2 linked regions of the Oryctolagus cuniculus genome follow. The protein of the gene in region 1 purifies or fractionates together with the protein of each later gene. This does not show direct contact. Links are inferred from orthologs where the notes say so. Each region holds a gene or a part of one and is shown on either strand. Other genes may lie near its edges.

Evidence for each region. Proteins that work in one complex are often made in the same cells at the same time.
Region 2: the proteins of EEF1A1 (region 1) and EEF2 fractionate together in Homo sapiens (co-fractionation; 3 studies listed by BioGRID). This does not show direct contact. The link is inferred for Oryctolagus cuniculus from reciprocal best matches to the Homo sapiens genes EEF1A1 and EEF2.

What each region holds. Positions count from the first base shown.
Region 1 is NC_091436.1:99,027,160-99,032,329, forward strand, and holds EEF1A1 (elongation factor 1-alpha 1), read left to right. Parts: upstream 1-1,955; 5' UTR 1,956-1,983; coding exon 1,984-2,127; intron 2,128-2,384; coding exon 2,385-2,564; intron 2,565-2,677; coding exon 2,678-2,974; intron 2,975-3,054; coding exon 3,055-3,205; intron 3,206-3,306; coding exon 3,307-3,563; intron 3,564-3,729; coding exon 3,730-3,964; intron 3,965-4,066; coding exon 4,067-4,191; 3' UTR 4,192-4,476; downstream 4,477-5,170. UniProt on the Homo sapiens protein: Translation elongation factor that catalyzes the GTP-dependent binding of aminoacyl-tRNA (aa-tRNA) to the A-site of ribosomes during the elongation phase of protein synthesis.
Region 2 is NC_091447.1:59,310,384-59,313,691, reverse strand, and holds the end of EEF2 (elongation factor 2), read right to left. Parts: intron 3,292-3,308; coding exon 3,184-3,291; intron 2,750-3,183; coding exon 2,396-2,749; intron 2,237-2,395; coding exon 2,054-2,236; intron 1,952-2,053; coding exon 1,819-1,951; intron 1,699-1,818; coding exon 1,505-1,698; 3' UTR 1,202-1,504; downstream 1-1,201. UniProt on the Homo sapiens protein: Catalyzes the GTP-dependent ribosomal translocation step during translation elongation.

The DNA.
Region 1 (5,170 bases):
ATCATGTGGGAAGGCTGAATGCGAAGCATGGCCTCTCGGGCTTGCAGTCGAGTGACAGCACACGATGAAAAAAATGGGACCACGAACTCTCTTCCAGAGTCTTAGCCCAACAAAACCAGGATTAGAAGTACAGCTAACGGTAGGACTGAAGTCTGTTCTAAACTGAAACACCCAACATCTGGAGAACCCCAGGCGGCGACTTGTATCACGGGCGTCCAGAAAGGCGACAGGCTTTGGTGGAACGAGCCCAGGAGCAGATGCGTGGTGCTCGCGGCCATCGGGCAGAGCCCCTCCCGGCTTCTCGCTCCCCGAGCCCTTAGCCCCGCGCTGCCCCGAGTCCCGGGGCCTTGCACGCCTCTCCCGACCGGAGGGGCGCAGAAGGCAGAGGCGAGGGAGCAGCAGGACCCGGCCGTGATCCACAGAGGAAGAGGCTCCGGGGCTTCCTCTCAGACCAGCGAGGCGCCAAGGCTGAGGACTGGGCGGGAAGACACCCCGAACCTCGATACCTCTGCGGTGCAGCGGGGAGAGTGGAAGACCCCGGAGGTGCCCTCGCCGCCGCCCTCCCCCCACCTCTCGCCGCCAGAGCCCAGAGTAATTCATACAAAAGAGGACTCGCCTCAGTCTCGGGGAAGCCCAGGGACCGTCGCTAAACTCCCGTTACCCTAGAACCGAGAGATCGCCGCGTCCCCGCCCCCTACCCCTCGCGCTCGTCGTCACCGGGACCGAGGCGAGCATGCGCGAGGCGCTGTGTGCTCGTCAGTGGTCGGAGCGCACATCGCCCACGGTCCCCGAGGCGTTGGGGGAGGGGACGGCGATTGAACCGGTGCCTAGTGGAGGTGGCGCGGGGCAAACTGGGAAAGCGGTGTCGTGTGCTGACTCCGCCCTCTTCCCGAGGGTGGGGGAGAACCGTATATAAGTGCCGTAGTCGCCCTGGACGTTCTTTTTCGCAACGGGTTTGCCGCCAGAACACAGGTGAGTGTCGGGTGTGGCTTCCGCGGGTCTGGCCTTGAGCGGGCTGGGGCCCTCGCGTGCTCGGGGACACTGCCATGCCACTGAGCCTCTTGACGAGGTTCCTGGCTCCGAATTTCGGGCTGTAACGGGGCGGGAGGGTTGGAGGTTTGCGCGTTTTCCAGGAGCCTCTTCCTCGTGCTGGAGTTGAGGCCTGGCGTGGCCGCCGCGTGCGAGTCCTCTCGCCTTCGCGCCGGCCTGGCTAGCCTCGCTCGCGGGGCCCTTCGGCCCTTTGAGTTTTTACGTGGATCGGTACGGCTCTTTTTTTGTTCGTCGAGATGGGCCCGCCGAGGCCGGGCGGGCTACCCCGCGCGTTCGTCGTCCGGCCCGAGGGGGTGGCAGGGCGGCCGCGCGGCGTAGGGACAGCGAGCGGCGGGGCCCGCCCGTCCGGGCGCACATGTCGGGCGCGGCCTGGGCGAGGCCCGACGGCGCCGCGCCTGCCCAGGCCGGGCGAGGGGAGAGGCGAGGGTCGTGGGGCGGGCGGCTCGGTGGGGCCGCGGCCGCCCCACCCCGGGCGGCGGAGCCCGGCCCGCTCGGCACCAGTTGCGTGCGCGGAAAAAGATGGCCGCTCGCCGTCCCCGCTGCAGGGAGCTCAAAATGGAGGACGCGGTGGCCCGGGAGAGCGGGCGGGTGAGTCACCCACACAAAGGAAAAGAGCCTTCCCCTCTTCGGCCGCCGCTTCCTGCGACCCCACGGGGTACAGGGCGCCGTCTGGGCACCTGGCTTCTTCGTGTGGCCTTTGGAGTTCGGCTTGGCTCGGCTGGGGGCGGAGATTTTTTAGGCGATGGAGTTAACTCACTCGGTGGGTGGAGACTGAAGAGTTAGGCCAGCTTGGCATTGGATGTAATTCTCCTTGGAATTTGCCCTTTTGAGTTTTGAACGTGGCTTAGTCTCAACCCTCGGACAGTGGTTCAAAGGTTCCCCCCCTTTTTCCATTTTAGGTGTCGTGAAAACCACCGCTAAATCAAAGCCAAAATGGGAAAGGAAAAGACTCACATCAACATCGTCGTCATTGGCCACGTAGATTCGGGCAAGTCCACCACCACTGGCCATCTGATCTACAAATGTGGTGGCATCGACAAAAGAACCATTGAAAAATTTGAGAAGGAGGCTGCCGAGGTATGTCCAGTATCGCAAGGGAAAGATGCTGAATTACATTAAGTCTGGCCACTAAAATGAGAGTGCTATGACTATAAAAGACAACAGTGATTAGTTGTCTGAATGTGAATGTTAAAATCACGAGCCACCATATCGACTGGAGAGCCACCTAGGCCCAGCAGTTTGGGAAGCGGAATGCATTCCCAAGCGGAGGGGGGCATGGGGTTTCAAGCTTTGCTGTGTCTTAGTAACCGTCTGAGTGCTCTGTGTAATTACAGATGGGAAAGGGCTCCTTCAAGTATGCCTGGGTCTTGGATAAACTGAAAGCCGAGCGTGAGCGTGGTATCACCATCGACATCTCCCTGTGGAAATTTGAGACCAGCAAGTATTACGTGACTATCATTGATGCCCCAGGACACAGAGACTTCATCAAAAACATGATTACAGGCACATCTCAGGTTTGTGCAACTAGTAACTGTAGACATAAGGTTTTCTAGGCGGGGGGTGGGTGAGTTCCTCCTTAGGTTTGAGGTACCTTCGTTCACAGTGTGTGTCCTTGATTTCTTTAAAGGCTGACTGTGCCGTCCTGATTGTTGCTGCTGGTGTCGGGGAATTTGAAGCTGGTATCTCCAAGAACGGGCAGACCCGTGAGCATGCCCTTCTGGCTTACACGCTGGGTGTGAAACAGCTAATTGTTGGTGTTAACAAGATGGATTCCACTGAGCCACCCTACAGCCAGAAGAGATACGAGGAAATCGTTAAGGAAGTCAGCACCTACATTAAGAAAATTGGCTACAACCCTGACACAGTAGCATTTGTGCCAATTTCTGGTTGGAACGGTGACAACATGCTGGAGCCAAGTGCTAATGTAAGTGACTTTCAAGACAGTGCTTGTTAAAGAGCTGGAAGTGGTGATGTGATAGAATTAATTGTTCTCTTGTGTTTCAGATGCCGTGGTTCAAGGGATGGAAAGTCACCCGCAAAGATGGCAATGCCAGTGGAACCACACTGCTTGAAGCCCTGGACTGCATCCTTCCACCAACTAGACCAACTGACAAGCCTCTGCGTCTGCCCCTACAGGATGTCTACAAAATTGGTGGTAAGTTGGGTATTAATGTAACATCAGAATATAACTTGAATTGGAACAGGTGAAAAATCTTTGGCCCTCAATAACTCTTTGGTAATCTGCAAATATTTTAGGTATTGGCACTGTCCCTGTGGGCCGAGTGGAGACTGGTGTTCTCAAACCTGGCATGGTGGTAACTTTTGCTCCAGTCAATGTCACAACTGAAGTCAAGTCCGTCGAAATGCACCATGAAGCTTTGAGTGAAGCTCTTCCTGGGGACAATGTGGGCTTCAATGTCAAGAACGTGTCTGTCAAAGATGTTCGTCGTGGCAACGTTGCTGGTGACAGCAAAAATGACCCACCAATGGAAGCAGCTGGCTTCACTGCTCAGGTAACAATTTAAAATGATCTGTTAATTGACAATGTTCATGCATACTCAAGGGGGTAAGCAATCTGATGCATGTATGAAGTGTTATCACATCAGGGGAGTTAGCATTTCTAGCTGTTACCACAGTTCAGTTTGAGAAGCACTAAAATGCATATCCTTTTTTTCCCAGGTGATCATCCTGAACCATCCAGGTCAGATCAGTGCTGGGTATGCCCCTGTACTGGATTGTCACACAGCTCACATTGCTTGCAAGTTTGCTGAGCTGAAGGAAAAGATTGATCGTCGTTCTGGAAAGAAGTTGGAAGATGGCCCTAAATTCTTGAAATCTGGTGATGCTGCCATTGTTGATATGGTTCCCGGCAAGCCCATGTGTGTTGAGAGCTTCTCTGACTATCCTCCTCTGGGTAAGGATTTTTTTTTTTATTGCTATTACAAGTTGTACTAAAGATTAACAATTGCTTCTGTGAACTATGTGTCTCATGGCAACTCAATACTTGTTTTAATAGGTCGTTTCGCTGTCCGTGATATGAGACAGACGGTTGCTGTGGGTGTGATCAAAGCAGTGGACAAGAAGGCTGCTGGAGCTGGCAAGGTCACCAAGTCTGCCCAGAAAGCTCAGAAGGCTAAATGAATATTACCCCTAATACCTGCCACCCCAGTCTTAATCAGTGGTGGAAGAACGGTCTCAGAACTGTTTGTCTCAATTGGCCATTTAAGTTTAATAGTAAAAGACTGGTTAATGATAACAATGCATCGTAAAACCTTCAGAAGGAAAGGAGAATGTTTTGTGGACCATTTTTTTTGTGCGTGGCAGTTTTAAGTTATTAGTTTTTAAAATCAGTACTTTTTAATGGAAACAACTTGACCAAAAATCTGTCACAGAATTTTGAGACCCATTAAAACAAAGTTTAATGAGAAACCTGTGTCTTCTTGTCAACACTGGACCTGTCAAATGTGTTCCAGGTTTTTCTAATTAGAATTGGCTGGAATTTTAAAACTCCATGGGTTAGGGATTTTTTCCCACCTGTTTGTTTTAAGCTATGGAGGGCTGTTAGCCCTGCTGGTTAGAACTGTTGACATGTAATTTAGTTTAGAAAGCAAAATTCTGTAATCTTAAGGGATGAAATGTTGCATATAAAATTGTGTAGCTACAAGTAAATTTGTTAGAATCATTAAATTTTGGTTTCCCAAATTACTTGAAGTTTTAGTAAAACAGCACTGGTTTCTAGGGTCCTAAGAAAACGTAAAAAGTGGTTTCCTGATGTAAGTGAGAACACCATTTCTAACAGATTTCTTCTAAAGCAGTTTGGTAAAGGATTTGTAGCCTGACATAAGAAGTGGACCACAGATGATCAGAATTAAGATACAGGAAGGTGGGGAAAGCATATTTTCAAATAAGCTTTATTCTTGAGGTTCATAGTGGTATTAGTGACCCATGAGTAGCATGGAGATTGCTGACAATCATAGTTTGGAGGTATTCACTTGACATGATCAAGTGTACTGGGTCTTTGGATTGTTGGCTGGCTGGTCACTAGTAAGGAATCTACACGGTGATTTACTATGGATATGATAACTTTGAGGTTTCTAATTTGGAGTTAATTAACATAGGA
Region 2 (3,308 bases), on another chromosome or scaffold:
TCCGGCCCCGCGGCTTCGGACACCGCAACGCGCCTGCGCCGACGTCGCCGCGCCGGCCTGCGCCCGCCCCGGGGGCGGCCCTCATCGCTCATGGGTCACCACTTCCTTCCGCATCCCGCCCACCGCACCCAGATGCGACGCTACGATTGGCTGACCGGCTCATCTTCCATGACCTCATTGGCTAGAACGGATGCTAGTCAACCTGACGGAAAGCTGACTTCCGGCACCCGGAACGCGGCCTTCCTGCCTCTCCGGAGCCGGGTGCTGGAGCCGTGCCTCCCGCCCCCGCGGACCCCGCGGACCCCGCGGACCCCGCGGACCCCGCGGAGGGCGACTCCACGGCGCAGACCCGGGCGGCCGCCGGGGCGGCTTCAGTGCGCGCAGCAAGCCCCCCCTCGGTGAAATGGCTCCCTCATGCTAAGTGCGCAAAGGTGCAAATGACGTCAGCCAGCGTCACGGGGCCCCCGGTGGACCCCTGGACGGACCGCCTGGCTCCTGCCTTGGGGAGAAATCCGGCGGATGAAACTCTAACCCACGACCTCATCTGCAAACACGTGACTTCAGCTCCCGTCTCTGGGTCTCTCCCCCACGGGTGGCGGCGGCCGTTTCTTATGTCCACTTAGCCGTTTTATTACCAACGGAGACAGTCTCCTGCCCACGGGTCCACTCCCCGAACGCCCCAACAGCCAGGGCCAAGGCCAGAGCTGGAGCCAGGGCTGGGTGTGGGCCTCTGACACGTGGGTGTCCCGGCCGGCAGGGCCTCCCGGGGCTGGGGCGGGCGTCACAAGCCTGCCCCCGACGCCCACCAGGTCACTGCCCCGTCCACTGCGGGCCAGGAGCCCGGGCTCGGCGCCACCGCCGGCTCTGCTGAGGGAGCCCCCACCCCCGGAGGTCTGAGGACAGGGACCTGGCCGCCCCCACCCTCCCCGCCCCCAGTCAGGACAGAGTCCGTGCTCCCAGGGCCCTCCCAGGGCAGCGTGGGAGATGCCGCTCCTGGCCGTTCCTGCGGGTGCACCCTGGGGACAGCACCTGGCTGGTGGCCAGCGCCTCAGGGAGCCCAGGGCCCCTCCGCTTCCTTCCCGGCCGCACCCGTCCAGCCCCCTGCACCGGGCACCAGGCTTCCCGGGACCCTGGGCGTTCCAGGGCAGAGCGGCGCCAGCGCGGCGTCGGCCGAGCGAGAGGACGGAGCCCGGGCGCTGTGCATGGTCACCACTCCATTTATTCCTCCACGGCGCGCGCTGCAGGACGCGGCCCGCCTGCCCCTCCCGGCTCCGGGGAGACGAGCTGCGGGCGCCGCCCCCAACCTCTCGGCGCGACCCTCCTGGAACCCTGCACGTCCACGGTCCCGGAAGAAACGAAACGGGTCGGGCGCCCCCCGCGGCCCCTCGGCCGAGTCCCTGCGCAGAGGGCGCGCTGCCGCCCCGAGTCCGGAATAAATACGGGAGCCCGGAGCGCGGGGGCGGGCCGGCGGGGGCGGGGCGCCGGCGGGGCGGGCGGCCGGGCCCTACAACTTGTCCAGGAAGTTGTCCAGCGCCGGGATGCCCTCCTTCAGGCCCTTGCGCTTGCGCGTCTCGGCCACCACCTGGCTGGGGCGGCTGCTGTTGTCGAAGGGGTCGCCGGGCAGGATCTGCCAGTGGTCGAACACGCACTGCGGGAAGGCCTGGCCGCCCGTGTTGGAGCGCAGGTCGGCGGTGAAGCCTGGGGCGGAGGCAGGCGGGTCAGCAGGCCGGAGCTGCGGGCAGCGTCCCCTCGCGCCGGACAGTGCCCGCCGGGCCCGCGACGCTTGCCGCCCTCAGCCCGCCCCGCGCCAGGGCTCACCGAAGGACTCGTTGACGGGCAGGTAGGCCTTGACCACGAACATGGGCGTGCCGGCCACCTGCGACTCCTCGAACACGTGGCCGCGCTTCCGGTTCAGCACCCCGTAGATGCCCCCGACCACCTGCTCAGGGCACTGCGGGGAGAGGGGCCCGGGTTGCGGCGGGGGCGGGGGGCGGGGCGGGCGCGGGGCGGGGGCGGGGCAGGGGCGGGGCGGGGGGCGGGGCGCCGGCCTCACCTGGATCTCCACCAGGTAGATGGGCTCCATGAGGCGGGGCTGCGCGGTGAGCACGCTGGCGTAGAGGCAGCGCCGGGCCGTGGGGATGATCTGGCCGCCCCCGCGGTGGATGGCGTCGGCGTGCAGCGTCACGTCGTGCACGTCGAAGCGCACGCCCCGCATGTTCTCCTCGCACAGCGCGCCCTGGGGGAGGGGCGGGTCAGGGCGGCGCCGCTCTCCCCGCCCCCGGCCCCGCTCTCCCCGCCCCCCGGCCCCGCTCTCCCCGCCCCCCGGCCCCGCTCTCCCCGCCCCCCAGCCCCGCTCTCCCCGCCCCCGGCCCCCGCCCGGCCCCGCCCGCCTCACCTCCTTGGTGGCCCACTGGAAGCCGGCCACCACGCTGTCCTTGATCTCGTTGAGGTACTGCACCCCCTTGGTGATGTCGGTGAGGATGTTGGGGCCGGTGCCGTCGGGCCCGAAGCACCAGATCTTGCGGGCCTCGGCCACGTCCCACTCGTACTTCTCGGCCAGGTAGCGGGCCCGCTGCTTGAGCTCCTGGCGCGCGGACACCTCGCCCTTGTCGATGTCCTCGGCCAGGCCGTCGGGGAAGGGGCGCGCCTTCATGTACAGCCGGTTGTGCTTGTTGGGGGACTTGGAGAGGCACATCACGCTGGACTCCTCGCTCACCGTCTCGCGGTAGGACACCACCGGGTCGGATTTCTGCAGGCAGGCCGGCGGTCAGGCGCTGTGGGGCGGGGGGGGGACAGGGGCGGGGGGGACAGGGCAGGGGGGACAGGGGCGGGCAAGGACAGGGCAGGGGGGAGGACAGGGGCGGGGAGGACAGGGCGGGGGGGACAGGGGCGGGGGAGGACAGGGGCGGGGGGGACAGGGGCGGGGAGGACAGGGCGGGGGAGGACAGGGGCGGGGGAGGACAGGGGCAGGGGAGGACAGGGCGGGGGGGGGACAGGGGCGGGGGAGGACAGGGGTGGGGGAGGACAGGGCAGGGGGGACAGGGGCGGGGAGGACAGGGCGGGGGAGGACAGGGGCGGGGGGGGGACAGGGGTGGGGGAGGGCAGGGCGGGGGGGGGGACAGGGGCGGGGGAGGACAGGGGCGGGCATGGACAGGGCAGGGAGGACGGGGCGCGGCCCCGCACCTTGATGGGGATGCAGGCGTGGTCCTCCTCCAGGTCCTTGAGGCAGATCTCCAGGTGCAGCTCGCCGGCGCCCGCGATGATGTGCTCACCCGACTCCTCGATGATGCACTGCGGGCAGGGGCTCG